Linked DNA regions of Drosophila melanogaster. The protein of the gene in region 2 interacts with the protein of the main gene of each other region in a pairwise test. Each region holds a gene or a part of one and is shown on either strand. Other genes may lie near its edges.

Region 1 (9,737 bases), on a different chromosome or scaffold from region 2:
GTTTGATTCGACAACTGGCTAGACGGCAAATGTCGTGTGCCTGCCAAGGACTTCAAATTTCCAGGACCAAAGGCAACCACTGAGTGCCATGGGCATCGACCATATGTTGGTTCCTAACCGAAGTCAAAGTCGGGTCGGTGCAGCTCAGCACGGCACAGCAGAGTACAGCATATGGTCACTAGACGCGAGCCACAATGCAGTTCGCCAGCGGGTTAATTGATGGCCCATGCCAACCAGTACAGTAGCTCATCCTCGCGAGCTCCGAGCCCCCCACCCCTCCACACGCTCGTGTGCCGTTGAGCGTGAAAGTCACAAATTATGGGCGACAGAGGGAGAGGGAGAGAGAGAGAGGGGAAGATCCCATGGCATGATAGTACCAATTTGGCAAGATATGACGCGTGCCTGGCGCGAAAGAGATGGCAACAGGCGAAGTGTAGGCGTTTCACCACCGAGCGAAAGGGAGGGAAACATATCTAACCCCTAAGTCACCCCAGCTCCTCGGGGAGATCCTTTGGCCGGGCCATGGTAATAGCTGCGAGGATCCTGGGGCCAGGGGTCATTTGCGGGCCATTTACACAAACTTGGTCAGAACGGCGGTGAAAATATTTGTAGAATGCATCTCGCGGGGGTTGACCGTAGTCAAGTCTGGATCCGATCGGATCGTTTCAGTTGCAACGAAACTTTCAAGCCGCTCGGATCTGCAATGAGCTACTACTACTCGTCTGCCTCCGAGGAGGATGGCAGTTCCCAGTACCTGGGCAGTCCCAACTACAACTTGACCCAGTTGCCGCCAGTTTCTGGCCAGGATTACGGACAGGGGGCTTTCTTATCGCCGGAATGGCAATTCTTGGATGCCGCAGGCGGAACTCAAACGGAACTAGGACCCATCATGGAGGCGCAAGGACAGCACACCCAGCCGCAGACCAAACGGCGGAGTAACAGCTTCACAGGATCGGACGGTAGGAAGAGCAGTCCAGAGCAGACCAATCTCAGTCCCACGGTCCAGAAAAGGAGACGACAGGCTGCCAATGCGCGGGAAAGGAAGCGGATGAATGGATTGAATGCGGCTTTCGAGCGCCTAAGGGAAGTGGTGCCCGCTCCGTCCATTGACCAGAAATTGTCCAAGTTCGAGACTCTCCAGATGGCCCAGTCCTACATCCTGGCGCTGTGCGATCTTCTCAACAACGGGGACGTGGAAGTGGATGCCGCTGCATACACCATCTTCGGCGACAGCGATAGTGGATTTGGATTGAGCGGAGGATCCTTGTCATAGATGGATGATACTAGACTAAAGTTATGTGATTTTCTTCTTACTGTAGATTAAGTTAAATATGTAATGAAATAAATTGAAATGTTTAATTGAATGCTAAAAATAATTTCAATTTCAAAGGCATTATTCATGGAACGCATCGCTTGATTGTGAACCAAGTGTTCAATCCAAAATGAGCTACTCATCTAACCCTTTCTACCAATTATAACCAGCCCACTACTATTCACAGATCCCCAGATTCAATTGGCCATCAGATCGTTTGGCTACGCCTCAATGATTTCAAAAACGATCATAAATTAATTACTCAACAGTTCATTGATAGGCGTACTTCAAGTTTTGGTCTAACCCCGAACGATTCCGAAACTGCGAAGCCACCACAGTGGGCGGTGTAGCGTGACACCCCTGAACTCCTGGCCAAAACTCCTCTCATTGAATAAAAAAGGCAGCTGAGTCCTTCGGCTTCGGTTGGGTGCTGTTTTTTTTTTTTTATGACGAGAGGGCGAGTTTGTGTGAGGACATAACAGCTATGGATTGATCACCGATGTCCTTTTGGGTTTCGTAGGTGGCGTGGGTGGCACGGGCTTCACAACGGTATCTTCGTTGGGCACTGTGATGTGCTGCACCTCCACTTCGCCCTTGCTGAAGGAGTTTTTCGATGGCCGAAAGCCAGGATCCGGCGGATGCAGGACAATAACTTCTCGATTGTGATCGCTGAAGCTCAAGTTTCGAAAGGGATTGCTGGTGAGCAGCAGGGTTCTGTTCTCCTTCAGAATGGGAGCATTAGCTTTGTGGGATGGACGAAGTACTGGTCTCCTTGGCCTTGAAATCGGTCTGGTCATAAGAATGCGCCGCATCCTTCTGGGTGGATATAATGCTTCTCTTTCTCTGGCATCTGGCTTTTGAAGCACGGTGTTCCTGTGGAGATGCTCTTTGATGATGCCCAGCGCTGTGCTGGCCAGCACTGGTGGAATCCTAAAGGAGCCCAGTATGGAAAGGCCACCACTCGCCTGGGATTGCAGAGGTGGCTGGGATCGGGTCGCGGTCGCCGAATCGTCCCAGGACATGCTCTGAAAGCCGGAGCACTGCCTTGGGCAGTGTAGCTGCTTCACAGACTCCTGTCCTGGGGCCTTCCGGTGGCCATCGGGTGTTCCAATCGGCTTCTTGGGCACCACAAGCAGGTACTGATGGTTGTTACCTTCATCCTGTAACTTGCAAATAAAATAGGCGGCAGAATTTAGATCAAAGGGCAACTTGCTGTTGGCAGCTGCATGAGTTTCCATTGTTCTCTTGGCGGCGTTCTGGGAAGGACTTCTAGTCGTCGTTCGTCTCTTGACCGGCTCTCCTGGCTGAATCTTCGTAGCTCCTGTTTGGCGAACGGGGCTGGTGGATCTCGATTGCACTCTGGGCGATATTCCAGTTTTGGCGCGGATATTCTTCTTGGCGGATGACGACTGGTTTTCACTGGTGGTTACTAGCTTTGTCTTGCCCTCCTTTTGTTCCCTCAATCTGTTAGAGGCATCTAATGATTTGGGTACCATAACCGTTGGTTCTGCAGTTTTCTTGGCTTTTCCAAATGACTGCATCTTATGTTCTTTGTCTTCCACTGATGTGCTTAGATTTATGCATATACTGCCAGCCTGATTTCGTTTCTCCGGCACAGTTGACTTGGGATCTTTCGGATCACTTTCCACGTCGCAAATACAATCATCGTCAGAGACTGGGCTCACGATACTGTTATGATTAGCGTTCCTGTTGTCGTTCTTGGAATATTCACCTACGTCGTGCGTTTTATTTTTAATGTCTATATCATATGCATTATTAGGATTTTGTATTTCTTTTATATCCCTATTTGAAGGACGAGTTTCCGGTGCCCTGTCACTATTCCTTGATTCATTTCTTCGGGATTCGGTAGTTTCGGATCTTCTGGATCTATCTTGTTTTCCATTGTTGGCAAGACCTGATGACCTGCGATCATTTCTACTCGACCGAGAGTTCCTATTTGCTGTTGCGTGGGGGATTTCTTCATCGCTGCAGAAGCAGTCATCCTCTGCTGAATCGTATAGATCAGCTTCTCTGGAATAGGATGGATTCCTTTTCGTTGTGATATTGTCTGCATTACGATTTCGATTAGTATCTATGCGCTCTGACTTATTGTAAGGCATATCCTCGCTCTCCGAGTTATCATACTTCGAGGGCCGTTTGGGTCTTCTTGAAGATTCTCTTCCATTGTACTCCATTGGAGCATTTCGATTTCGAACGGTAGCGTTCTCCCTTCTAGGATAGGCATCATATGGATTATTGGCATCATATTCATCCGATTCAAAATCGTCACAATAACAATCCTCTAAAGTATTTCCATGGTTTCTGTATTTGTATTCAGTTCGGTAATCTTCACGAGGTCCTTCAGCATATCTAGAAGGTGAATTTCTGTGCTCTCGTTTGGAGTACTTGTTTGGCTTTCCTATAGAAGTACGATATTCAGGATAATTATCACTGTAGCGATTGTTATATCTTCTCTGTCCATATTCATTGTAATCTGAATCATAGTCAGGATCTTCTCTTCTTGGTTTCCTATACTTATCGCTTTCTCTTCTATAGCTTTTTGCGGTATCTTCATAATCATCGTTTTCCCGCGATCGCCTTCTTGGTGAGGATTCACTCCTATATCTCCTTGCTATTTTTTCCTCCTCGTCATTCTCTTTAGAATAAGATCGATCGCTATGTTTTCTCGACCTGGCCATATTAATTTCCAAGGAATCGGCATATGGACAAGTGTCATTATTGCATGGATTATCATTATCTCTTCTTTTGGAACGCGGATTCGTTCCATTGCCATGTCTAGAGTACTCATTTTCCCCACTATTTCTTGTTCGACGTTCGGATTGGTATTTATTTTGCCTAGATGTAAAGACTCCAAATGGACACGTTTCGTCATTGCAGATTTCATCGGATCTTCTTTTGGATCTTTTAGTTTCTTCATTTGATTTTCTCTTTGTCCTAAAATTATCCTCCCGGCCATGACTACTGGATCTTTCTCTGGGAGCCTGCTGCTCTTCTTCATTGTAAGTATTTCTCAAAGGACTGCTCCTCCTAGACTTGGAGGTTCGTTCATTATTCTCCTCGTAGTCGCGATTTCTTGAGTTCCGAGCTACTCCTTCTTCTCGGTGTTTTGGACTAGGACATTTTAAATGGGGACATTCCTTAGGATCACGACGATCATACGCGGGACATGCCATTAACTGGGAGTCATCAGTTTGAAGTTGGAAAACTTTTTGATTTTTCGCTTCATCGGCATTGTCTTTTCTTCGTCGTGGGGGAGGTGAATCTTCATAATTGGAATTATGGTTATTACCAACTTCATCATCTTTACGAGATCGCCTTTTTGAAGGACGCTCCTCGTTTTGATGGCGTTTATTAACTGGGCAATTATCATCCTCACATATATATTTCTTCTGGTCAGGACGATCTGGACCGTCCCTGCGAGATCGTTCCTCATTTTGAATCCTTCCTTGGTTGTAATTGGAACTTTCGGATCCGTAGGATCTTCTTCCTAAGTTGGATCGTTCACCTTGATCATTCGATTTTTGCACGGTCTTTGATTGAAAATCCTCTGGCATCGATTTAGTTTGCTCAGTTGGGATAAGATTCTGTCCAGATTGCTCATGCTTTTCTAATGCACTAGCTTTTGAAGAATATGTCTTCATTGGGTCCTGAGGTGGCGGTGCTGTGGCATTGCCTTTTTTGGCTGGCTGAAGCGGCCGAGTTGCCTTTTCCTGATTCCAAGACTTTGAAGGCGGTGCCATGGGCATCTGGGATGGGTTAGTAGAGGCATCTGGGGACTGTGCCTGTACCCACACATCTGTGGGCGCATCCTCCGCATTGATGCAATACACATGCTGTGGCTCCGGATACATAGATCGTCCGTAGTCATTCAGGTAAACCGTTTCATCATATGGAGCGTCTGGTGGAGCTGATCGAGAATAGTTCCTGGCATTCTGATCGACATGATGCGGTTGGTAGTAGTTACCGTGGGCGGGAGGCACAGTTTGATTGCAGTAAATGCACTGGCATCCATGGATATTGCAGCGCTGAACGTCTTGATTTACTTGGTTATAAGTGCAGTAACAACAGTTCGGAACTGGATGGCTGGTGTTATAGTAAGTTTGATCCGAAATCGGTTGAGTGTTGCTGTGTCGATCGGTGGTAGGATTGTTTGCATTGTTCGACAAAGTCCGATCCCTATACTTCTTCTGCAACAGCATTACGTTTAACTGATCCTCGCCTGACTGGCGGCGATTCTTCGTACAGCCGCAGCTTTGATTCCGAACGGAGTCTCCATCGTCGGAGTAACTGCCGGGTTGATTCTGTTGCTTGGCCAACTGGTCTAGAAGTCTCCCGCACACGGCATTATTATTTCGCTTCCAGCTGTCGCAGCACGACTTCTGATTGTCCTCGCCGATTACTTTACGGAACCTGGGCTTCCACTCTCCGCGTTTTTGGGAACATAGTCTGGGACCTGGCCATCTATCGCTGCGTATACCATTGCCGACGGACTCGTAACCATCCCAGTTGTCAGCACCGACGTACACATCATTTTGTTGCGTTTGCGATGAACGCTTTTCTGGGTTGTCTTTCGTGGGACATGAACATGGTTTCCCAGTTCGATACTGTTTGCTATCACTTTTTTGGAATTTATTTGACTGATCCTGTTCCTGATACCGATTAGACATCCTTGGGTTGGTACTGCCGCTTTCTCCGCCTTCTAAAGAGCTCTTACTTCCGAATTGAGGACGACTGCTTTGACCTCTTAGCTCGCACGCTTCACAAGGATCTTCGTCTTCCTCTGGCTTGCAACGAACACAGTACGCAGTGGGATACCACCGATCATTGCCGGACGTAGATCTTTCATGGTGCACACCTAAGAACTCTTCATTTGGTGGCTCAGGCTCTAGAATCATCTTGTAGAAGGTGTACCCGCACCTGGTTTCACTGCAGCTGGGACTTAAAAAAGCTAGAGGCGATATGAATGTGTCCTCCGAAAAATTGGGTGGGAAATGTCCTTCCTTAATGGGACAGTTAGCTTCCTCCTGTGTAAAAATAGAAGATAATGGTTCACTATTCAATATCCAGTGCAAAAACCATCCACTCACCTCCAAGTTTCCCAAGAAATGCAAGTCCTCGAAGTAGGAGTACCTTGGACTATAACTATAACCCTCAATTTGACTATTTCGGATGGCGGCCAATTCCTTGGAGTAGTAGTGCCGCAGACCGAGCACCTGCAGCTCCACCTGGTCAGGAGTCAGGCCGCAGTTCATCCGCCGGGTGATTTGTCGCCAGGCGTCATCCTTCGCAGAACCACTATGGAAACCAGGTGACTTTGGATTCCAGAGGCACTCGTTCGATCGATAAAGTCGGATGAGCTTCTGCGTCTTCTTCAATCGCTCCAAATTCAAATACGACGTAATATCCTTCTGTGCCATCGTGCCCCTCTGTTCTCCACAATCCTTTCCAGCGACTCGGTGATCAATCTTCCATAGCGTTTTCCTATTGAACCTACAGAGGTTGTATGCCTAGTTTGGAGCTATATATTGCGCCCAAGCCGAAATATTTGGACAGGAAAAACAAAAGTGACAATAAACAAGCAATTTTGAATAATTTTTGAATGATTTTTAAACGGTATCGCTTAATTAGGAATATTATATGCCGTTACCATTTTCAAGATCTGCAGGGTGTCTCATACATTCGAAGCTTTTGAGAGTATTAATTCAGTATTATTGTGCAATTAAATGGCGATTGGTATTTAGCTGGGCGAGCAGAACGGTCACACTGGCGCACAGTAGCGAAAATAATAGTCGAATAATAAAATAGTTTTGAGTGCAACTAATTCCGACCTACTAACGTATGCGAGTGCATTTAGCGGCTGCACTTAATCATTCCGGGCAAAAAAGTGCAAAACAGTACGACGCGGAGCAGTCAGAATCGAGGTTGCGCTCCAGCGTTATCGCCATTTGACCAATTCAACTTTTGTGTCTGGTATAACCACAAAATTTTCACTGCATCTTCTTATTTGAGCCGCCCCCAACCCAATTTTCGCGAGTGTGTCGGAATCAGCAGAGAATCGGAACAAAAGGGGCCAAACGGAGTACCAGAATCGGCACAAGCAAACAGTGAACAGCAGATAGTGCGGACGATAGCGAGTCCGTTGATTATCCACGTAAACAGTGAGCTGCATGCGCAGAGGTCGCGCCCAGAGCTGCAGAAATCCAACAATCTCCGCCAGAAAGATCTATCTCCGCCCTGTAAGCAATGTCCGCGGAACGAGAGATTCCCGCCGAGGACAGCATCAAAGTGGTCTGCCGATTCCGACCGCTGAACGACAGCGAAGAGAAGGCCGGCTCCAAGTTCGTGGTCAAGTTCCCCAACAATGTGGAGGAGAACTGCATATCCATAGCGGTATGTGTTCCAGATCTATAGTTTTCGCCAGCCCCCAGTGCCTTTTCCCTATGTGTTATGCATTAATCTCGGCGTGCCGCGCCATGACGTCATGCCTATTAGCGTACATTACCCTTCCCCAAAATTGCCGACCAATTGGAATGCCAGGCGATAAAAAGAGAGAGGCACTAAAGTTACCCATGAATAATTGCACAAAACAAAACTAGATGTACATATACATGTATATGATGAAACCAACTAACTTTACTCCAAATCAATATTGCTTTGCACCAAATTGATTTTCCCCCAGTCGAAAAAGAATAGGGTGTGTAAATCGAAAGAAGCGCGATGACGGGGTGGAGAAATGCCACCCACTAGACGGTTTTCTGCTAAAAGCGGGTGTTCCATTCTTTTGGGCCGCATAAATATGCGCTTTTCTAGTTTCCAGTCCGCCTTCAGTGCTTACCTCACTTACATTTCCACACAAACACATACACACATTGACGGTAGCCCCCGCTCCACTTCCACTCCCCTGTCCGCGCGCCAATGAGTCATGCACGCAAAGCATACAAAAAAAAAAAATATGAGGAAAAACAATAAGAGCAACTTTGGAGGCAATGGAATTTGGCTGTATTGCTTTTATGCCACATGAAATGTTATTGCTTTGTATGCTATGCTGAATTTCCCGCTTTTCCGCCAGGTGTAATCCGTCATATTCCTGGTAAAGCTTGGGCAATTGAACCAGTTCCAAAAAAGTCAGCACTAATATAGTGCCTCCATACACAGACATTATCATTACGCTCTCTCTCTCTCTCTGACTAACTCTATCTATCTCTCTTTCGCTGTGGCTTTCTTCTGGCGCTCGTTATTCACTATTCTTCCCCCTTCCACTTAACATGTCTTAATGCTCATAATTACAATCTGCTTCGCGGCCATGCGTTGAAAATGATTCAAAGGCAGTCAGCGGGAAAAGATCGGGGACAGGGGGAATGAATCTCCGAAAGAAATTTCACCGCAACTGACACCAGTTTATAGCTAATGTAACTGGCTGCTATGTACTAAAGAAAAAAACACATTATACTAAACCTAATCTCCATCGTCTGCAGGGCAAGGTGTATTTGTTCGACAAGGTCTTCAAACCGAATGCATCCCAGGAGAAGGTCTACAATGAGGCGGCCAAGTCCATTGTTACGGATGTCCTGGCCGGGTACAATGGAACGATATTCGCATATGGTCAGACGTCCTCCGGAAAAACGCATACGATGGAGGGCGTGATCGGGGACTCCGTAAAACAGGGTATCATACCACGTATCGTCAACGACATTTTCAATCACATCTACGCGATGGAGGTGAACCTGGAGTTTCACATCAAGGTCTCCTACTACGAGATCTACATGGACAAGATTCGAGATCTGTTGGACGTCTCCAAGGTGAACTTAAGCGTGCACGAGGACAAGAACCGGGTGCCGTACGTCAAGGGCGCTACGGAACGGTTCGTCTCGTCGCCGGAGGATGTTTTCGAGGTGATCGAGGAGGGCAAATCCAATCGTCACATCGCTGTGACAAGTGAGTACTAATTAAAATCGATGGTCAGGACCATTTCAGCCAAACAAGTCTAGGAGTTATTCCAGCATTCGCTCTGACCTCGATTGTAGTGTTTCATGTACCAGATCATCTTTTATAACGATTTATCCATCCTTTCAGACATGAACGAGCATTCTTCGCGATCCCACTCAGTATTCCTTATCAATGTGAAGCAGGAGAACCTGGAGAACCAGAAGAAACTATCCGGCAAACTCTACCTGGTGGATTTGGCCGGTTCCGAGAAGGTTTCCAAGACTGGAGCGGAGGGAACCGTTCTTGATGAAGCCAAGAACATCAACAAGTCGCTGTCGGCCTTGGGCAACGTAATTTCAGCCCTGGCGGACGGAAACAAAACGCACATCCCCTACCGTGATTCCAAGCTCACGCGCATCCTGCAGGAGTCGCTGGGAGGCAATGCACGCACAACCATCGTCATCTGCTGCTCTCCAGC
Region 2 (9,621 bases):
GTTGGCTCTCTAGTAGTCCTTGCGGTTGATGATTTCCGAGTAGTTGGTTCTTCAGTAATCCTTAAAGTTGTTGATTTCTGAGTTGTGGGTTCATGCGTTGTCTTTTTGGTTGCTGGTTCTGCTGTTGTCTCATGGGTTGTTGTCTTACTGGTGCTTGGCTCCTTTGTTGTTCTTTCTGTTGTTTCCCTCTTTGTAGTTGGCTCTCTAGTAGTCTTTGCGGTTGATGATTTCCGAGTAGTTGGTTCTTCAGTAATCCTTAAAGTTGTTGATTTCTGAGTTGTGGGTTCATGCGTTGTCTTCTTGGTTGCTGGTTCTGCTGTTGTCTCATGGGTTGTTGTCTTACTGGTGCTTGGCTCCTGAGTTGTTCTTTCTGTTGTTTCCCTCTTTGTAGTTGGCTCTCTAGTAGTCTTTGCGGTTGATGATTTCCGAGTAGTTGGTTCTTCGGTGGTCCTTAAAGTAGTTGATTTCTTAGTTGTAGGGTTATGCGTCGACTTTTTTGTCTCTGCAGTCGATTTAATGGTCGTTGTCTTCAGGGTTGTTATTAGCTCAGATGTGGATTTAATCGTGGTGGTCCTCAAAGTTGTTTGCTCAGTTTTTGGTGCTTCCGTTGCCCTTGCAGTAGTTGCAGTAGATTTAATAGTGGTTGCCTTTGGAGTTGTTATTTTCTCAGTGGTTGGCTCGTTAGTTGTCTTTTGGGTTGTTGGCTTGGCCGTCGATTTAATGGTGGTTATTTTTAGAGTTGTTGTTTCCTCACTGGTTGTCACTGTTGACTTTGTTGTTGCCAGTGTTGAAATCTTTGTGGTCGAATTATTGCCATCACCCGGACCAAATGGACAGCCCGGGAGAAAAGGATTTATCCAGCAGTAATCAGGATATTTTTCAGCCGATTCTGTAGTTGATTCGTCCCCAAACTTAATTTCACTGCCCTCCAGCGCTGCATTTGCAGAGTGATAAAGGGCAAGCCAAATAAAACAACTTAGAACGACCTATAGTTAAGGACAATATTGGTATGAGGTAACTACTAATCTTATGTTCGACTTACCATTGCAACTTGTCGAGCAAGACTCTGGATTTTTGAGCCTTAGTTGGTGCTTAAATAGGGAGCAGAATAAATGGCATAGCAGGCCGCTGATAAGGTCGTCCAGGGTCGTAGTTCAACAAAGTTCAACAGGTAAGCGCGAGTCATTATTACAAAACCAAAAAGATAAGTTTTTAAAATTTGTATGCATTTGAAGCATACTGTTTTATTGTCTTTTTGTTTGTGATGACCAATAATGCAGTGCCCCGCATAAAATAAACTTGCACCCTCGTTTGACTAGCTGTGATTTATTACACATAAATATATGGATTCACATAAATGTTGAGCCTTAGATTATAGCACAGTCCAAAGATATCGAATCCAAGAGTTCGATCTTATTTGGTACTGTGCTTGGTGTGTAGTGTGCAAGTCTCGGGTTAGTTTCTCTCTATAGCTGCTGCCGAAATAAATATTGCTTATGTCTAGGTAAGAATACAATAAGATAAATAGAACAGAAGTTTTCCAGGCCCTAAATGCAATGCGACAACAGAATCAATTGCTCATGGTGTCCTGATGCTTGCACAGTGCCCTTATCCCCGCCATGTCCCCAGCTCCAGATCTCGTTCCTAATTGTTAGTGTGCGTGTAGTAAAGAACCGTATTGCCTGGTAGCTGCCAGTGGGAGGCCTTCAGCTCGATGAGTTGGAGAAGAGTGCGCCGAATGGAGGCCGCAGATTCGCCGGCATTCAAAAAGGCATCGCGAACCAGACTCATGAGTAACTCCAGTTGCTGGGGCAACTGCTGCTCCATGTCCTGGCCAATACAGGTCAAAACATAAAACAAGCACTCAATCTGAAAGTTATGAATAGTAATCACATGTATTATTCCAACCACTTGATCAATCAAAAACGTACCTCTGAAAGTGATCTAATGGGTGGACGCACGCAATCCCCGCAACATTTGGAGAGCAGACTAAGCAGTACCAGTGGCGGAGGAGTGCCCTCGTGGTGGGTGCGTAGCTGGAGCTGCCGACGTTTCAGCTGACAAAACATTTCCGTAAGGAAGGCCATAAAGGCAGTGAATCGGACACGTGATGGCGACTTCATGCCCTGGATGGCAAACAACAGCTGCATGCGGGGTAAAAGATTTTTAAATATGAAATGATCATGGAAATTTATGCTGAATTGCCTACCTTCTCACGCTCCTGGTACCACTGACGGCATGTGTTGAGGAGCGCCTCGAGAAACGTTTCCTTCTGCTCCCGGGCAATGATGTTCAGACACAGTCGTGATATTGGCAGAGCAAAACGGCGACTCTCCACCGCGCGTTTGATGAACTGCGATGTCAGTTCCATGAGACAGCGAGAGTTCAGTTTATTGGGATCCTCCAGGGCCGTGTCAATAAGCGCCTGGATCTCTGGCGTGAACTGTCCTATGTCGGCCACCTCGTTGCCCAAACCTAGTCCCAATCCGGCCATTCCACGAGTAAGGGCATCCGCCGACGACAACGACTTGGAGCGTTGCAGTGCATTTCCATTCATGTAAGGATCTACTCCATTAATATTCGCCTGATAAGGCTGAGCATAGTTGTTGTTTAGTTGACCAAACTGATTATGCGAAGCCACTTTGTGACCTCGGGGCTCAGGTGCAAACTTTACACGATTTGTTGTCTGGAATTTAGGTGTTTATTTATTGAAATATTGTTTTTTTTTACCAATATTTTTAAATTAGAGCTCACGTGAAGTATATTTCCACTGGATGGCGAGTTCATTAGCGGCAGCTGACCGCTGAGGGCACCGGTATTGATTGGATACGTCACCAGGATCGACCGGTGGTTGGCCTTCAAGCCCGGCATGTTGCCGAGGGAGTGTCCGGCCTGGCGGCGATTCACGTTTCCGTACGGACCCAAACCCGGTGCAACTCCCACTCCGGGTCCATTGGTGAGCGGAAGTATTAGCGACGAACTGGAAGAATGTTGTAGACTGTAGTTTAGCTCTGCAAGGAGACGGGAAGAGGGGTAAACAATGGAATTAAAAGACTTTGCATTACCGGTTGCCGAGTGCCTCGGCCGGTGCCCCGGAGCTGGTTGTCATTGTGAACTCCTGGGCATTGACGTTCAGCTTGTTGGCGACACCACCGATAGCACCATTCGGACCATCACCACCGACACCACCGGCTGGAGCGGCTAGCTCTCCGCGCACATCTGAGACAGAGTCAAGTGGGGATTATTGTTGGGGAAGGGTCGGTATACCCAAGAGTGTATGTGATGATGTTGGGGGGTAGGACAACATTGTGTGGAGGGACGGAATGTACAGGGTATGAGACAGAGATATGAAAAGAATCAAAAGAAAAATGTGGTCTCAGTAAGTATTAATTGGAACTGATAAGCTGGCAGCAAAGAATAGAGCATCTTAAGCTGGGCTGGCTGAAGTACATATGTGACTATTGACATTTAATATTTACATTTTTAAATATGCTCAATCTCACTTTTTAAGGACTAAGCTGGAAAAAAAACGGAAATAGTCCCTATAAAATATGCCTATAATAAATATCGTTATATGTACATGTATGTTTTTGATTATTCAGTACCTTTCTCGTCCAAATGCATATATCTACACTTGATGTGTTTGTATTTCTAAGCCACCACTAAAATAATACCGATTAAATATCCTCGAAATATAAAAATTCTCTATTATATTGAGTTCTTTAACTTCTTTAGCACCGAGCACCCTGCCAAGCACCCAAGCGAATTAGAGAATTTATAACGAATGACTAAAACAACTCACTGGGAGGCCTGTAGATATCCATGGCTGGTTTGCCCCTCATCTGTCCCGTCTGATTGCCAGGTACGTTGAAAGCCAGACTTCGCCGTTTGTTGATATTCTGAATGAACAAACAATTATATAAATATGGCTGCTAATCGACATCGATATGGTGTACCCACCTGTTGATTTGAGGTGCGCACAAAGCTGCGTTCGCGGGAGATAACGCCGGGCTGAAATTCCGGTGATTTGCGCACCTTCCGCGTATCATTCTGTTGGCCATTCATGCTGGCCTGGGCCAGTAGTTCCACCTTTTCGGCCATCCTGCGATTTTTGCGCGAGTACTGCTTCTGCTCTATTTGGGTAAAACCTAATTGAAGATGAAAGCCTAATCTTTGGTAGATTATCCTCCGGTTAATCGATTCACAACTGGGATTCCGTCGAATAAACGTCTAAATGTGTGGCTTCAGTATTTGAGTAAATTTGTACATATCACAATAGTTGGTTTCCTTTCCTCCTTTATCGAGTTGAGTTCTCTTCTTAATACGATGTTGAGGGATATCTTCCCCTTTTGCAGATTCAGATTGCCGGGTCTGGAATACAATGAAAATTAATTATATACTTCAGCATATCGCATTATATTATTGTCAACATATATCAAGTAAGATACACAAAAACTCTTTAACCCACATGCGAGAGGGAGGCGCAAACTACTTGATCTTGTCGAGCAACCAACCGGCTTTATGGCCGAGCGTAGGAGTTGCATCTGGTTTGGAACCTCTGGCTAGAGCACTTCATCTCCGAACATGACATCAGCCCCCGAGTAATTCTTATTCTGCGGCCCACAAGAAGTCCGAAGTGAGTCTCCGCGAAAGATACATACGAAAGATACATTGTACAGTCAGGCCTCTCTACCATCTATTATCACAAAATGTGGCTTGAATAAATCTTTGACTCTTCTTACTTATATGTACCATCCACTTATATCAATAAAACAATGAACTTGTCAAAATGTGGTAATTAACGAACTTAGAGAATCTTACATAGGTTAACTGCCCTGTGAGAGTGACTACTATCATAGCAATGTGAACTTGCCTCGCTAATTGCTCTACACTTCCCATTCTCAGATTGCCAAACAGAGTGCTCGGAATAAGCTAGGCTGGTATTATGAATCAGCGTCGGATGGACGGATATACTCACCTTTTAGTGCAAAAATATTTCCTTCAAATTGTTTCGTTGTTGCTGCTGCTGTTGCTGCTTGAGCTTTTGTTTATCTCTGTCTATAGTGTATATATAGATGGGTTTGTTTGTGCGTTGTTGCTATTCGTCGATTCGATTGTTGCTTGGTGCCGCAGCTTAGTTGTTCGTATAAAGATATTTATCTACTTCGTAGATACGCTCTTTCGTGTCTCGTTTAATCATGCTTGGCATGCGCCAAGTCAAGCCGTAAACAGTGTCAGAAATAATTAATATTTCGAAGCGTCCCTCCACGCCCAAATAGTCCGCATATGGGGTAATACACTAGATGGTTATGGATTGCGGGCCTCTAGACACAGATACAGATGCAGGCAGATACAGCGGCAAATGCAAAAAAAGGCACAGATACGCATACGCATACGCACTCACACAAACGCACTGTGATCACAATTGATTTTAGTGCCTATTGTTGTTGCTTTTGCTCGGATGACTGGTGGCTGCTGTGCGAGCGAGAGGGCGAGATGAGTGATATGAGCGGGTGGCTCGTTAAGTATACGCACCGTTGGTATCGTCTATTTTTGGTTTGTCGCTTTGTGCTGCTTGTTCTCGGCTCGTTGTCTGCTCGTCGTCAATTATTACCGATTCCGTTTTGGTTTCTTAATTTTTGTTCGCGTTGTTGTGTTCGTTCGTTTTTCTTTTTATTGTGATTTTTCTCTCATTTAATGCAGATCGCTCGCTATTTATGTATATAATATAGTTATTGTTCGGATTACTCTCACACGTACACATACAAGCGGTCACTACACGCATACAGGCGCGGCCAAAATGAGGGGATTATTAATTGTTATTTATATTTTCCTATACTACTCTTCATGTTTAGCCTGCACGCGCTGTTTGTTTTCACCCGACTTGTGCGCCGTATTCTTTGGCAATTGCCAAAAACTGCTCACATGTGCCGCCGCATCTATATTTATAGTATATGACAGCGCTGCGAATGATGACTGTATCGCAGCACTATGTAGATACATCTATAAACCTATATGCAGTTGGCGTTGCTTCCGTTTCCGTTGGTCAAAAACAATAATATCAGCGGGCTGGCAGAAAGACAAAATAAAAAAAAGAACAGACTATTTCAAATTATTGGCCCGATTTATTTAGCGTTTTAGTCGCCGCCGCGGCACAATATGATTTCCGCTCGCAAACAGTTTGTCTATTTTTAAATAGAATTCAAGAAAGTATTCGGGGAGGAAACGTATGTACTTATGCATGAATCACATAATCCCGATTCGTAAGAGCAAAATATAAAGGATCGGGGATGTAATTGGATTTAAACACATTTAACTACGGGACAATGGAACCTTGGAATTTTGGTTTTACTTTAGGTTTCCATGGGTTCGTTGCTGTCGATCGAGACACTATATCTGCGGGGTATATCTATTTATCGATGTACGCCGTATTATGTGAGCATGTATGTATATTCGCACGTATGTATGTATATGGATGTGAGTAACGCTGCCGGCTGCTACACTGGGCGCAGGCTTTAACTTAAAAATTAAATCATCGGCGCGAGCGATCAGTTGAAGACTAAAGACTTGATGAATCGCCGCGCCAGCCGAAAGCTCTTCATTACAGTTGTGCTCTCTGGAAAGCGATTCTCCGCTTCTCTTTGCACCACACAACCAAAAGAATCTCGTGGGAAAATGCGAGAGCGATCCGTTTAGGGTTGTCGAGCGGCTCGAACTATAGAGCAAATATGTAGAAATAAATGAACATGATCGCATTCGTACACAAAATGATCTTTATCCTTATAACAATAGTTTCAATTCGATACATAAACAGAAATTACAGAAATGAAAACTAATCATGATGACAAATCAATAAAACAAGAATATTAACTTGTCTGCCTTGGTTTATCGTGGAAATGTTGCTGTTACTAATGAAGAAAAACTAATGTCGCCTCAACGGTGAAAAATTACTAACTCGATTTATGATCCACTTTTGGCATACCATACACCAAATCTCTCCTTGCATACAAGTTTAAAAAATATACAAATACAATATTGTTAGAATAATTCAAACGATGTTAACAGGATTTGACAGCGGTAGGACGATTAGACCAAGTTGATCAAATGCTCGCGCAGAATAAATACGGAGGTGGGGACAAGGACGAGAACGAGGACAACGAGAATGCCTATTTGGCGGGCGAGGCTATGGAGTTGTTTAGTGAATTGTTTAGCTGCTCCTCCTGATCCTTGTCCAAGCCAAGGGCTGTGGTCAACAGCTTGACCACACATCGCTGCTCGTGCACCTCGCCCTTCTCGTTGGAAGTAATGTCCTTTTCTAGTTTTAGCTTCTCTTCGGCGGCCATCAGGATGCCCTCCTCGATGGTACTCTCGGAAATGAGACGGTAAATGGTCACCGGACGCTGCTGTCCCATGCGATGACACCGATCCTCGGCCTGTTTATCGTTGTACGGGTTGAAGTCGATATCGTGAATGACACAGGTGTCGGCAGCCGTCAGGTTGATGCCAACGCCACCGGCTTTGGTGGAGAGTAGGAACACAAAGATGCTATCGTCCCCATTGAAGTCGGTGATCAAATCCTGGCGGACATTTACGGCGGTCGCCCCGTCCAGGCGACAGAAACCAAACTTTCGTATTCGCAGATACTCCTCCACAATGTCCAGCATCATGGTGAACTGGCTGAAAAGCAACACACGGTGTCCTTCTGCCTTCAGTTTTGGAAGCAACGTATCCAGGTAGAGGAATTTTCCAGAATCGCATATCAAATTATCGGGTATTTTCACGTCGTAAAACTCCTGAAAGATGCACAAATTTAGTCATTGTCATTGGACAACCTCTTTGATAGTCACTTACATGCTTGTTCATCATCTGATAGACCTGAAAGTCTGACATAACGGCTAGCTCTTCAAAGATGTATTGCTCGTTGGTCTTTTTAAAGGAACTGGCATTAGCCAGGCGCTTAGAGAATCCACGTAGATTGGCGTCGGTGAAGTAGTGACGCATCAGCAACGGATGGTTTGCAATGCGGCGCATCTCCATCATGATCGCTATGCCGGCCCTTTCGCTGCTGCTGCACACCTCGCCCTTGTTATTGGAATAATAATCGACCAGCTCGTGATAGTATATTTTCTGTTGACTGCTCATGGGCACTTTTTCCTTTAAATAAAAAACAATTTAATTATTGTATAATATTTATTTTCGCCCGACGTACTTACCACCAGGCTTAGCTTCTTGGGCAGGTTCTTAAGGACATCTTTCTTAAGCCGTCTGAGTACAAATGGCTTCATGATACGCTTTGCTCTCTGGATTTGTGTTTCCTGGAACTGTGAAACCTCATCCTGATCTCCATCGCTTTTTCCCTTCTGCAAGGAACATGAAGTTTATATATTGTTTTGTGTGAAACCAATCTTTGTTTTACCTTAGCAAACAACGATTTTATGTCCTCAATGCTCTTGGCAAAGAATTTGGGCATCACGAAGCAGAGCAGAGAGATTAGCTCCAGCAGATTGTTCTGCAGCGGAGTTCCAGTGAGCAGGATTCGCATCCTAGCGTTTATGGTTATAAGGTTAGCATAGCGTTGCGTGGTCATGTTCTTCAGCATATGGGCTTCATCAAAAATGACGTAGTCCAACTTGCAAACCCGGAACATTTTCCTCTCCTCCGGCGTGGATCCCACAATGTGATATCTGTTCAAAATGTACAAGAAATTTAAGCTTAGATTCTTTTATGGCTTTGTGGATATTTACGTGGTCAGAAGAACATCAAAGCCGGTAAATCCATCCTTGGCAAAGCGGCCTCGCATTCTCCTTCGCTCGTCCTGCGAGCCATGGTACTTCTCCACCACCAGTTCGGGACACCAGCGGCTAATCTCTGCCTCCCAATTATCCAGCGTGGACGAGGGCACCACAATTAAATGTGCAGCCTGGCTAAGACCATTCTCCTTTAGATAGGCCAGAAATGCAATAACCTGAATTGTCTTGCCCAGACCCATTTCATCTGCCAAAATGCCATTCATTTCTTGTTTGTGCATTACGGTGAGCCAATTAAGGCCAATTATCTGATAATCAGCCAGCTGTAGACTGCAAGAGGAACGAAAATAGAAACACAAATGGGGACATGCATGCTGGTTAAGGCTCACCCGCTGCTAAGAAGCTTAGGTTGCTCCACAATGCCAGCACCATTGGAAATCGCCTTCTCCAGACGCGACACCATGTTATTGCACTTACTTAGAATAGCGGCCACCGTGTTCTGTTTGTTAATCAGCTCTTGAGCGTAATTCAAAAGATCACCCGACATCCTGATGCTCTCCAGCTTTTGGCGCAAATCAGACCAATCACTAAATGGTCGCACATCAATGATGGCTAATGCCTTCTTCTCGGACAGCGTTTTAACTGACTGGAGTTCAATTAGCGAAGCCTCGTTCATAAACTGGAAAACTTTTTTACGTTGCCCCGTCATCTTGGTGGACATCTCGCTATCGCTGTCATCGCTATCATACACCTGGTCCTTGGACTGCTTCACATCATCGTCGTCCGAATGGTCGTTATCCGAGAAGTTGCCTCCACTAATTCCGTTTGACCTGGGTTTCAGCTTGGACTTGGCCAGTGGTCCATTGTGCCCCTT
Region 3 (6,563 bases), on a different chromosome or scaffold from region 2:
ATGAAGAGAGAGAGAATCCTTTTTGTGCTTGTTACGGTGACTTTATCGTTTATCGTTTTGCGAAAAGGATTTTATTATATTCACCAGAAGCACTATCCTTTTGCCTTTGCATGTGTGTCTGTCTGTGTGTGTGTGTGTCTGTGCGGCAGAAGATTTTTCGCCGAGAGGAAACTGTATGTGTGAGTATCTGTGTGTGTGCCACATACTGAAAAGCGACAATTTCATGTCCAAATGCTTTCCAGGTGACATGAAACAACACTTAAGTAAGAAGCCTTTCTGGGGAAGGAGGTGGGGTGGTGAATATTCTGCCTGCAACTCTCTGTGCAACTGTATCCATTCCACCCACTCAACGCCCACCCATTCACTCACACACATTAGCAGTTAAATTTGTTGGAGTGTGTGTGCGAGTGTCTCTGAACCAACGCACCTGGCGTCGAAGAATAATATCTCTTAACGCCAAAATCTACATTTAAATTGTTTTCAATATAATCTGCATGTCCTGTCCACCGAGTGAGCAATGTTCGAGTGTGTGTGCTGCACTAAATGAAAGCAGAGCTCAGACAATGGGAATCCTGGGATCAGGACACTTATGGGCACGGGCTACGTGCTCCCAAGGATATGCGACATGTGCCACAGTTCACATGTCCGAAGTCATCAAACAAATCACTCAGAGATATTGATTCAAGGAGGTAAACACTGCAGAAAACATTCGATTCAATTAAAATATACTCCAATTAGCATGATACTCATTTTACATATTTTCTTAAACATTTAGTATTTATTTAATATAAGCTTATAATTATGCTAAATATAAATTATATATAGATTATTTGAAATGTTCATCTTGTGTATCTTCAAAATATCGAAACTTAAAAAATTACACGAGTATAGTCCTGCTTATTTGATGATTCAGAAATTGTTTTAATATATGATTACTTTACATAACGTTTTGGTATGATTGGATTGCATTTATGTTGTTTTCAATTGAAGAATAACTATTTGCAACTTTTAAACCAATCACAATTTGGCTCTTTAGAAATTCAATTTTTAAAAGCATACATTTTAAATTTCATGGATGAATTCTTTATTCTCAAATGCATTTCTTTCATGTGAATCCTTTCGTATTCCAGATCCCCAGACTCATGAAGTGGGTGTAGAATTTCGTGGCGCCGCCAAGAGCGTCCAGAAATTGAGTACCGATCAGGAGTTTGGGCATTCGGACACTTTTCCCAAAAATACCCGGTGCATTTTCATTTTCCTATGCAAATGACACATTGCTACACACACATTTACATATGCGTTCGTTTGTAAGTACCGAAAAAAGTGCCACATGTGCGTCTCTTTTGACTTTGAGATGCACTCGCATTTATAATAAATGGCAGCGCGTTAACACCCCAAAACATCAAAATACTCATTTTACAAAAATTCCCCAAAAACGTTCAGTTCCCCTCCCCACCCCGCCCGCTCCACATACCATTAATTAGAACGCACTCGACTCGAGGACCCTCAAATGGACCGGCCACGCCCCCTTCCTTGGATCGAATGGAATCGGATTGTTTGTTTGTTTTTTCTCCTATTTCGGTATCTTGTTACGATTAGCTAGTCCCAATTAGCTGCGATTTTCGTGATTTGGCCTTGAGATATTGGAGCATTAAGCACTTTTATGGGAAATGTACAATGCATATATCAAGCTATTTTTAAAAAAACACACACACACTGTAATGATTAAATGTTGTTGATGTTACCAATAACGTACGGATTAGTTTTCTTAAATAAAATTAGATTTTGGCTTTATATACTTGCAGACCTTCTAAAATAATTTAATTTGATTACTTTTTAGATTTTCCAAGTCCTTACACCACCCAAAATTTAAATGCACATTAAAATATCAAACTTTTTGTTTATTGGGAGCCAAGATAGAAAAGCAAATATGTTTATTAAAATATAAAAACATGCTTATATTTGTTTGCTGTATGTTATTTTTTGTAGTTTGATGTGACATAGATTATATTTATTTCAGCTGGGCTTATAAAAAAGGTTTTATGTTTTTGTTATTTTAATATTGAAAATTCTCTTTTAAAATTTCAAAGAATAATTGGAAGCGGATCAAATAAAACACTAAACTACTCAATATTAAAGAGATTGTATACCCACTCGTCTTGAAAAACATATCTTTATATGCCTGCAAATTTTCTTAAACATTATATTTAATTAATTAAATTAATGTTTGATTTTTTGAGATTGTAGAAAAATGTTCCAATTCTTCCCACGAATGTATGCCCAGACGTATTTTGACCAGTTATTATGATAGCAAATCTTCAGCAACTCTTTTCTAGTTTTTCCAATTATTTCTGTATTGTACTTTTTTATCAAAATCGGAAAATTCTTAGCCAACTTTGGCTACAATATCCAATTGGGAAGCCTTTCGATCGTGGTCCGCCATGAAATCGCTTCCAACGTCGACAGAGAGGGGTCGGCAGAAAGAGAGCGTCGACTTACTTTCCAGTGCTTGGAGGTGGGCGTTCTCAACGAACAAAGCAACAACAGCCCCAGAGAGTCTACCCTTCTCACTCGTTACCAGACCACTCACAGACGTGCAAGCGAGAAGGCTGCTGCTCGTGGCTGCCAGTCTGATTGGAACGCTGGCCAATGGGAGAGCTCCTAACTGGCTGGCTCTCTCGCGGCCCTGCAGCCATCCCGTTTACATCGCTGCTGCCATCTCTGTCACACGCAACCGCGCTGCTCGCTGAGCGGCCGAAAAACAGTTTGTTCCGAAACGCGAATAGGTGCGCATCTTCGCATCTTGGCATCTCCGCCGCGTCGCCCAGTAAACTCGAAAAAAGGCCGAAACGAAAGTACCGACGAACGAGTTACAGTCACCGGATAAGTCACAGTCGGTTATTGAGTCGCAGTCACTGCCGTCGTCACCGTGGAGATACCGCTGACAGGTTGGAACGGAACCCGTTTTTACTGGAGCATTGCCAGCGGATCGGATCGGCAGATGCAACCGACGTAGATAATGAAGTGCGTGCAATAGTTATGATAAAAGTAAATACGAAAAAAAGGGACCCGAAAAGACAGGCAAACCTCTCTAGAAATGTCTCGTTAAATATCAAAAGAAACTCGCCATAAATTCGAAACTATGTTTATTATTATGGATCACATATCAAAAAGTTTCCTAAGCTGACTTTAAAAAATTTCGATACAGTGTGGAAAAAACTGAAATACCAATCAGTGGGTAAACTCGCAAACCAAACTGACACATTCTTTTGACCGAAGACTGAAGAGCCGCGTACATTTGTAAATCTGTTTGCGGCAAACACTTGAATCCAATTTGCTTTGCCCGGCTGTCGTCTGTGTGTGTCTTTTTTTAACCATTTTGGTAACCGGCCGCCAAAGAGTCAAACAGAGTCAATAAAAATCAAGTTAAAACGGATGAAAACGGACGAGCGAAATAAAACAGCAAAGTCACACAAAACAAACAAAACATTTTCCGGCTCCGGCGACATTAACAGAACTGCTCGACATCGACAATTTGTTTTATCAATTTTCAACAAGGCCAGCCAGCAGCAGCAACAACAACAATAGCACAACACCCAACAAGCCAGCAAACAACAAAAGCGCCCAGAGTGCTTAGCCGTCGAGCACGCACGCCAAATCCGCCCAGCCACCCAACCCAACCACCCACTGGCCACCCACTTGAACCTCCCTTAAGCACCCAACACCATCCCCACATCCTTGGCCACCCCTTTTTCGAGGGCTCCGCCAGCATCCGCATCCGCAATCGCAAAAAAAAATAAGAAAACAACAAGCAAACAACGAGGGACGCCCCACAGTGAAGCCCCGGCACAGTGAACTCGCGTGTCGCCGCTCTTTAGGCCAACTCAGCCAGCGAGACAATGGCTGCATATGCGCAGTTTGGATACGCTGGCTACCCGACGGCAAATCAGGTGGGTTTATGCCGGTGGTTTGTTTAGAGATTAACAGTTAACCGTTTTTTTTAAGTCTGTATTGATTAGTAAGCAAACTTAACTTAAGTTTTAAACGGTTATTTAGCACAGACAACAATTTTAAGGAATCTTTTAGTATGGATCCAATATTGTATCTTATATATACATTTATATTTGCTTTGAAAATGTTGCTCCCTTTAGATTTTGTCAATAATATATTCAATTTTAAAAGTAACAAATTCCAAATCAATTAAAAACCTTATCCAAATTTTTTTTTGTAATCTCATAATTTGTGTTCAAACTGAAGGCCATAAATACCATATTATAAAGAGCACTTTGCTTACAATAATTATTGTGAATAGAATCTGAAGATTTATAAATACATTGATTTAAATTGAGTAGAATGCGAAAAACCAGTTGAAAGAGCAAATTTCTGAATTATTGCTACTGGGTGCCTTAAATTTAAATTTAAAACAGATGGCTTAGTCATAACAATTTATATTGGCCATGAAATTAAATTTATTAATTTCGTTATATGTATTTATTATATTTTGATTTACAGCTGTGCCATTTCAATATGCAGCCATAACTTAATCATTTCAAGAGACACTTGAATATACTATTTATTTAGTGCGGACTAAAATAATATTTGGCACACACACAAAAGATGTTTCATAAAACCAGAAACTGAGTCAGTTGAATATTTTGGCATGTGCGAAAAGGGAAATCTTTAATAATGGACGGTGCGAAATAACTTTAAATTTACATATTAAGCCGGCGGGTTTGGGGAGCAGCCACTGCACATGAATATTCAAGCACTTTGGCACCGGTTGGGGCTCCTGGATCCCTATATATATACATACATATATATATAGATATATATATATATATGCGGATATAGCCATAATGGCCGCCCCGCCGCCAAGAAATGTTTCACAATTTAGGACAGCCGTCACCGCCTTGGATGCAAATCGCTGGTAACCGAAGGGGGGGGTCTGGTGGGGCATTCCGGTGGCAGTGCATCGTCCGAGGTCTGGTCATAATTACCCGGTATTCGGAGCTCAGTAATTCAAATTAGTTGGCCCAAACGGGGGGAAGTGAAACACTTGCAGCTACAAAGCCCTTGCAATGCCTGTGTAAGCCATGTTCAACGACTACTATGTGGTCAAATGCGTCAATGCTAGTGCGTTTATCCTGCTGCCAATTTATGTACATTTATATATATACATATGTATATATGTGTGTATGTATACAATATTCCTGACCACGGTGGCTGGCATAAATTTATGCTAATGAAGCCGCCGGCGGAGTGGTGCACCATTTATTATAATATGCAAACTTGGTAAATTACAATAATTAAAATAATGAACGTTCAGATTATCGACTATAATTATGGCTGGAGATGTGCAAAAAGCCTTTTGCCTTGCAATCGATTAAGAGCCAACAGAATTTTGTCATCGTTTTCGGCTCATTTGCATACGTCTACTAAAGCCACTAAAAGCCACTAAATGCGACTAAGCCACCAATGAAAGACTGGTCAGTTGATATGGCATTCGGGTGCCAAATTTATGCAGTGCACACACTCGGGTTCTCATTAATTTAATTTTAATTTCGACGCCAAGACGGCATTCCAAATATAAAAAAAAACGACAATATATAAATTTAATCAACGGCTGACAGTTGGCAGTAGCAAAAGAACTTGCAGGCACATCGCACATCGAATTCTTAACTTCCCATGCGAGCTGTTCACGCATTTCATGGCAAAATAACTAAAATTCTAAGGCAGCAAAAAGTGCGCGACGATGTCGAGTCCTGGATTCACATAGGCTCCATCTGAAGCCCCCCCAAATTCCCCATCTCCATCTCCATTGGGACGCAAAAGGACAAGCCCGTAAATGATGCGAGAAAAAACTAATATTTCGCAGTGTGCATTCCATAATTGATTTATGAATTTTTAATGCAAACATTGAGACCGCAGTTGAGTTGCGAAAGAGTTGTTCCACTGCGAACCATAGTATTCTGCGCCCCAACTTAATTCAATAAGCAAGCCCCACAAAAAACCGAGCAACTTATTCGCATTAGCAAAAACGCACTTTGGAGCCAGTCCCTTTGGCCATTCAATGCACGGCGAGAAAAAATGTGGGCAATTGGTAGGGGCTTATTCTCAAATTTATTTTAATGACATAGAAGCGAAATAGAAGCATAAATCGGTAAACTTAGCTGTTCACTACCATAAAACTTATATCCATACCTTTTATTTAGATAACAAACATAAATTCTACATAAATTTAATTCATTTTAAAAATTCTTATTCAGGAAGGTTTTTGTTTAAGTAATGTTTCTACAAGTTCTATATAGATATTTAAATAAATTCAATTGATTTTATCTTAATTTATTCAGTAAAATAGCAGTTGTTAAATGTATCTAGAAACTAGAAAGTGAGAATTGTTAGACTTTTCATACTATTGAACTCTTTCAGCTATGTAGTCCAGGATTTAATATGATTTTTTGTAGTATTATTTTTTCCCAGTGCACCCTTTAAAGTGGGCCTGGGTATCTGTATGAATATGGCATACTCGCTTGGCAACGCAATCCTGCGGATGAATGTGAGAA
Region 4 (5,918 bases), on a different chromosome or scaffold from region 2:
AACTGAGAGCCCAGGAGCTGAAGAGTGGCGCTGAGGTGCCGCCGCCAACGGAGCCAGCGGTGCTTCCCGCGGCAGGCAAACGGGACAGGAGCAAGGACAAGAGCCGCGACAGGCTCAAGGCGAAGAAGCGGGAAAGGGAGCGGGAGAGAGAGAAGGTGAAGGAGAAAGAGAAGGAGAAGGGTAGCCGGAGCAAGGACAAGAAGCGTAGCCACTCAAAGAGCAGCCACAAGCTGGCCGAGAAGAGCAAGGACAAGAAGTCGGTGCGGCACAAGAAGCATGGCAAGAAGAGGAGCCGGAAGCACAAAAAGACCACAAACACCAACAATAGCAGCAGCAACAGCAGCAGCGAGCTGGCCAAAACCAAAACAGGCAAGCGACCGAGCAGCGGCAGCACCAACAAGAAGTCAAAACGACGACGATCATCCTCCACCTCTAGCTCGGATTCGTCGTCGTCGTCGTCGTCCTCCTCCTCCTCCTCGTCATCAACCAGCAGCTCATCGTCGTCATCGAGCGATGATTCGAGTGATGACTCCTCCACATCGAGCGATTCGTCTGAATCGGATTCCAGCGACAACGAGGAGTCCAGCACCAGTGAATCGGATGAGTACGGACGCAAGAAGAAGCGGCAGGGCAAGTACAAGCGCAAGTCCACGGACACGGCCATGCTGCGACGCAAGAAGACCAAGGCGAAGCGGAAGCGACATCGTGCCGGCGGATCCGGTGCTCCGACCGCCGGCAGCAGCTACCTGAGCAGCCTCAGCGACAGCAGCACCTACTGAGAAAGAAAAGAAACAAACAAGGATTAACTGGATCAGCAAGAGAATCTAGATGTGGATCTGTATCTGGATCTGGATCAGCATCAGGATGGATAGACAGCTGCCTCCCAAAGCACTCGCTCCGCAAACTAGCTCGCTTTCCATTTTAGCCGTAAAAACGTAAAGGAGCAGGACCGCCAGCCCATCCTTTCCGCTCCTCACTTCCACAGAGAGACTGCCAGTTCCACTTCCAGTTCCAGGCCCCAAAACAACTTCTCCATGAACTCTTCCCACGGATTATGAGACGCGCAAACCGTAGACTTGTCCCTATACCTTAAATTTCAGCCCGATGTGTGCTGCAAATACAACAAATTAGTTTGTACAAGAGGAAGTCGGAGTTTTTCATAATTGAGAGAGAGCAAAGCATGGGTTGCTATTAATTATAATCTTCCGCAACATATTTTATATCTCACATTTAGTAATAATAGTTGTAATAGATTAGAAAATCGCTTTGTAAATGAGCCCAATAACATGGCAATCTAATGACTTAAAGATAGCTAATAGTGTCTGGCTTGTATTTGTGGATATGTTACGCGACCTAACAAATGATTTAATACACTTTTCGATAGTAATACCGAACATATATAATACGCCTACGTTAGGTGCTATAACCGACCCGAACTGGAGCTGGAGTCGCCTGATTTCTGAAAGATTCGCAGCGCTTCCTGCAGTGCGGAAATGTGTAGCTGCATTTTGGCTATTTGCCGGGAAGACGACTCGCAATTGCGGCAATGGGCAGGCGAAGCAGCTGTGCTTGAATCGGAAATATGCTGGCTGGCTAACAACAGCTGGGCATTCTGCGACTTGAGCTCGCCATTCTGGACTAGTAGCTCCTCGCAAAGGGCGCACGCCGAGCAGCGTAGATCCTCCAGCGCCTGTTCGCGTGCCTTGAGGTTGCGCATTAGCGCTCGATTCTCCCGCTTCAAGTTGAGCAGCTTCTGCTCCAGCTCCAGCATCTCGTCCTCGCTGTCGCGTTCCAGCAGCGGATCACTGGGCTTCTTGGGCGCAACACTCGACTGGCCGCCCATGCGATTCATGGCCTGCAGAATGGCGTCCATCTTGTGCTCCATTAACGCACCCGAGGCACGCTGTTCGTCTAGATATTTGTCCAGTGTCGTCACAGCCAACGGAGTATCGCTGCTCGTTGAAGCGTTGGCCACCGCCAGGGAACTGGCACTGAGTTTCCTGTGAGCATTTGACGAACCTATGGGTCGCGGCACTGGCGTTACTATCACATCCTCATTGGAAGGTGTCTCTGTTTCCCGTTCGCGTTCCTCATCGTCCGCCTTCTCCAGCGTTGGCAGCGTTACGCGGGAACGTGGTTGCGGCTGTGGCGGATTAGGCGTCGTCTTTGTGACCGTTGCTTTAGTTCGGATCTTAGATAAATCCTCACGCGAAGGCGATGCCGAGCTGGAGGATGAGATCTCGCTGAGATAGTGCTCCACTGGCAGTTTGTTTTTGACCATAAACGTTATGAATTCCTTCTCATCCGGTTCCTTGTCGAATCGCAGGCTCCAGAAGCGCTGCTCGTCATCGTAGAACTGCAGATAGGATTCGCGCAGTATCACCTTGCCGCCACGCGGTGTCAACTGCAGCGTGGTCAGCACCTGACTCTTGCTGCGGTAGACAATCAGCTTGCTGGCCTCCATCTCGCCCAGAATCGAGAGGGCCAGGCCGACGCGTCCAACGTTCTCGCTGCTCCGATAGGCATGCACCACCTTGGCAATGGCCGTGTTCCAGGCGGCAGGCGGTGAATCACCCGTCTCCTGGGTGCTACTCCTGGTCATGGCCGGTCTTTTGCCAGCCTGCAATTTTTTGGAGCTGCCTGGCTGATAGCGCAAGCTGGATGATTCGTTCGCCAGCGGACGATCGTCGTCCTCAAAGATCTGGCGCAAGTTGCGAGGACCCGATTCACTGGAGTTCATATATATTTAATATGTATATACCACTGTGCCAAGTGTCCCAATCCCGTCCAGAAACAGACTCACCTTCGCAACTTGTCGAAGAAGTCCTGATAGGACTGATCGTTGCCGATTTCCATGCCTAATTATGCAGTCGCATCGAAAATGTTTAAAAACATTAACTATTGTTCAGTTTGTTTTGACCGAAACAGAAAGTGTGACCAAGCGCCAAAACGAAGAAAACTTGTTTCCACCGGTGAATTGCTTTCAGGAAAATTATAAAATATTATAACTAAATATTAAGCAAAAAGGCCATAAAATAAACATATTTATACATATATATGTTTAATATAGTCAACTGTAATAGAATATATATTCTATATTCAATTCGTTTCAATATAATTAATTCAATATATTAAAACCAAACTGAACTTACTTCTACATTCGAAACAATGTTTTTAAAAAGATGCTTGTGCCTTAAATATGGAAAAATCAATCAATATTTAAACGAACATTTAAATTTTATAGTCACGACCTGCTAATTTGACTGCTTATCACTTTCCTAAATCTATGTTTTTGTTTTTATTTTGATTCTAATTTCACCACCAGCGAAATGGTAATAAATATTTTCGGCCACTCAATACGACATTTGTATTATTGGCGGTTGACCTCCTGGTCACGATGTGTTTTCCACTCCAAATCGCTAATGGAAAAACTGACGATACGGGCACTGCTATCAACCCAAATGTTAGTTGTCAGTGGGCTGAGATTTCGAGAGAATTAAGATCTAGATGCTAGATCTTGATCTCTGCACTCTGCAGATGCTTCCAGCTTCGAAAAAGAAGTTGCTACATTACGTATACGTACCCACAGTCAAGGTTCGTCTTGCTGAATTCGCTGGATTTCTTATTTCACAATAGACATTGGTCCGCCAACCTTCCCAAGGCCATTCAAAGAATCAGCAGCAGCACACTGCAAACAAAAAATGGTACTTCTTTCAGATTAACAATGAAATTAATTGAGTAGTAAGTCATATTATTTCGTAAAGATCTTGTCTTAAAACTGTGTATGATTTTTTGACCCATCAAATGGCAGTCTTAACTTATTATTCTTATTCCAAATTTCGTTCTGTGCCGCCAACGACGCAGTTGCTCTCGATCTTGATGCCTTGATAAGCGGGAGAGCGCATCATTTACCACTTGTTCAAGTGCGTTCATCGGCGAAAATTGCGGCGATAAGCTGCGATCCGGTGCGCTATAAAGTGGCCAGCAGCCCGGCAAGCGTTTCAGTCCGATCTTGGCCAGCCACCGAGAGAGACAGCCCATAAAAACCAACTCCCATCACCAAACAGTAGTAACACCCATTCTACCTGGCACAGCGGATTAGAGAGCAGAAGGCGATAAGGCAGTCGTAAACACAGAGATCTGATTACGTAAATAGGGAACAAAGACCATGGAGGTACCACCGCCACTTGTACTCAAGCGACCGCTCTATGTGCCCAGCAAGACGTTGATGGGGCCCGGACCCTCCAACTGTTCCCATCGCGTCCTGGAGGCCATGAGCAATCCGGTGTTGGGTCACATGCATCCCGAATGCCTGCAGGTACAATATCTTCTTAAAACCACAAAAGTGCTAGCAAGATTGAGCTTAATACTCGAATTATATCGAAAAGTTAAGCCCAAGTCCATATACTCATGGGCCGCACTGTACCTTATCTGAACGAAGTGAAACATTGAGATACATTTGCTGAGCTGGGTCAGAGATCTGTGGGCTAGCCAGTCGAGTGAAACCAGCACATCTCTTATACTTTATAGCAATCTAATATTAGTGATCCCCCCATGAATTGAGCTATTCCCACTGAGCATGGCCAGGTGTTTGTATATTAATCTCTGTATATCTGCAGATCATGGACGAGGTGAAGGAGGGCATTAAGTACATCTTTCAGACACTCAACGATGCCACCATGTGCATCAGCGGCGCCGGCCACTCGGGCATGGAGGCCGCTCTGTGCAATCTGATCGAGGATGGCGATGTGGTGCTCATGGGCATCACGGGCGTCTGGGGTCATCGGGCCGGGGATATGGCCCGTCGCTATGGTGCCGAAGTTCACTACGTGGAGGCGAGTTTCGGCCGGGCACTGTCGCACGAAGAGATCACATTCGCCTTCGAGGCGCATCGACCCAAGGTCTTCTTCATTGCCCAGGGTGACTCCTCGACTGGCATTATCCAGCAGAATATCCGTGAGCTGGGCGAACTGTGCCGCAAGTACGATTGCTTCCTCATCGTCGATACGGTGGCTTCGCTCGGCGGCACCGAATTCCTCATGGACGAGTGGAAGGTGGATGTGGCGTACACGGGTTCGCAGAAATCGCTCGGTGGTCCCGCCGGTCTAACGCCCATTTCGTTCAGCAAGCGTGCTTTGACCCGCATCCGAAAGCGAAAGACCAAGCCGAAGGTTTACTACTTCGATATCCTGCTGATTGGTCAGTACTGGGGTTGCTATGGCACACCCCGCATCTACCACCACACCATATCCTCCACCCTGCTCTACGGATTGCGTGAGGCACTGGCCCACTTTTGTGCCGTCGGCCTCAAGGCGGTGGTGCGTCGCCATCAGGAGTGCTCCAAGCGACTGCAGTTGGGCATCGAGGAGCTGGGTCTTGAGATGTTTGTGTCGCGCGAGGAGGAGCGTTTGCCCACGGTGAACACGATTAAGGTGCCCTTCGGCGTCGACTGGAAAAAGGTGGCCGAGTACGCCATGCGCAAGTGAGTATTGTACAACTGGACGCGAATCCTCGATAGAGATCCGTATTGAATCCTTTCTTTTTTTCCAGGTACAGCGTTGAGATTAGCGGTGGTCTGGGTCCCACGGTGGAGCACGTCTTCCGTATCGGTTTAATGGGCGAAAACGCTACCGTGGAGCGCGTGGACATGGTGCTCAGCATCCTGAACGAGGCCATTCAGAGCAGCAAGCTGGGGATCAAGACGGATCTATCGAAAATCTAACAAATCGTTGCCCTGCTCCTATCACTAGTTATAAAATAAAAACAAATATGGAAAACTAAATGTACTTCCTTTTGTCTTTTGTTCGCTAAATGTTTGAAACATATGGCATGTGAAATTTGTTGTCATCTAGAGAGAAATGGTACAAAGAAGCGGAAGTTGGCCAAATTCAATTCAAGAAGACTTCTCTTTCTCACAG

Evidence for each region.
Region 1: the proteins of CG13124 (region 2) and CG33017 interact in a two-hybrid assay, tested with the Drosophila melanogaster proteins (one large-scale study listed by BioGRID).
Region 3: the proteins of CG13124 (region 2) and caup interact in a two-hybrid assay, tested with the Drosophila melanogaster proteins (one large-scale study listed by BioGRID).
Region 4: the proteins of CG13124 (region 2) and CG3342 interact in a two-hybrid assay, tested with the Drosophila melanogaster proteins (one large-scale study listed by BioGRID).

What each region holds. Positions count from the first base shown.
Region 1 is NT_033778.4:16,269,325-16,279,061, reverse strand, and holds CG33017 (uncharacterized protein), read right to left. Parts: upstream 6,949-9,737; 5' UTR 6,751-6,948; coding exon 6,421-6,750; intron 6,358-6,420; coding exon 1,795-6,357; 3' UTR 1,407-1,794; downstream 1-1,406. Other genes in the region: cato (cousin of atonal), read left to right, coding at 704-1,273; Khc (kinesin heavy chain), read left to right, coding at 7,577-7,723, 8,809-9,268, 9,407-9,737.
Region 2 is NT_033779.5:9,902,073-9,911,693, forward strand, and holds CG13124 (uncharacterized protein), read right to left. Parts: upstream 6,562-9,621; 5' UTR 6,353-6,561; exon of another isoform or gene 6,236-6,352; intron 5,784-6,235; 5' UTR 5,536-5,783; intron 5,476-5,535; 5' UTR 4,979-5,475; intron 4,372-4,978; 5' UTR 4,102-4,371; coding exon 3,961-4,101; intron 3,900-3,960; coding exon 3,803-3,899; intron 3,220-3,802; coding exon 3,066-3,219; intron 3,012-3,065; coding exon of another isoform or gene 2,981-3,011; coding exon 2,755-2,980; intron 2,687-2,754; coding exon 2,210-2,686; intron 2,145-2,209; coding exon 1,932-2,144; intron 1,870-1,931; coding exon 1,645-1,869; 3' UTR 1,307-1,644; downstream 1-1,306. Other genes in the region: Muc30E (mucin 30E), read right to left, coding at 1-986, 1,043-1,045; Etl1, read right to left, coding at 7,167-7,793, 7,852-8,154, 8,214-8,360, 8,417-8,684, 8,745-9,077, 9,137-9,621.
Region 3 is NT_037436.4:12,606,870-12,613,432, forward strand, and holds the start of caup (caupolican), read left to right. Parts: upstream 1-2,761; 5' UTR 2,762-3,899; coding exon 3,900-3,950; intron 3,951-6,563. UniProt on the Drosophila melanogaster protein: Controls proneural and vein forming genes. Positive transcriptional controller of ac-sc (achaete-scute). May act as an activator that interacts with the transcriptional complex assembled on the ac and sc promoters and participates in transcription initiation.
Region 4 is NC_004354.4:6,524,948-6,530,865, forward strand, and holds CG3342 (uncharacterized protein), read right to left. Parts: upstream 2,942-5,918; 5' UTR 2,857-2,941; coding exon 2,804-2,856; intron 2,730-2,803; coding exon 1,421-2,729; 3' UTR 1,159-1,420; downstream 1-1,158. Other genes in the region: CG3918 (uncharacterized protein), read left to right, coding at 1-779; Agxt (Alanine-glyoxylate aminotransferase), read left to right, coding at 4,169-4,318, 4,620-5,482, 5,551-5,722.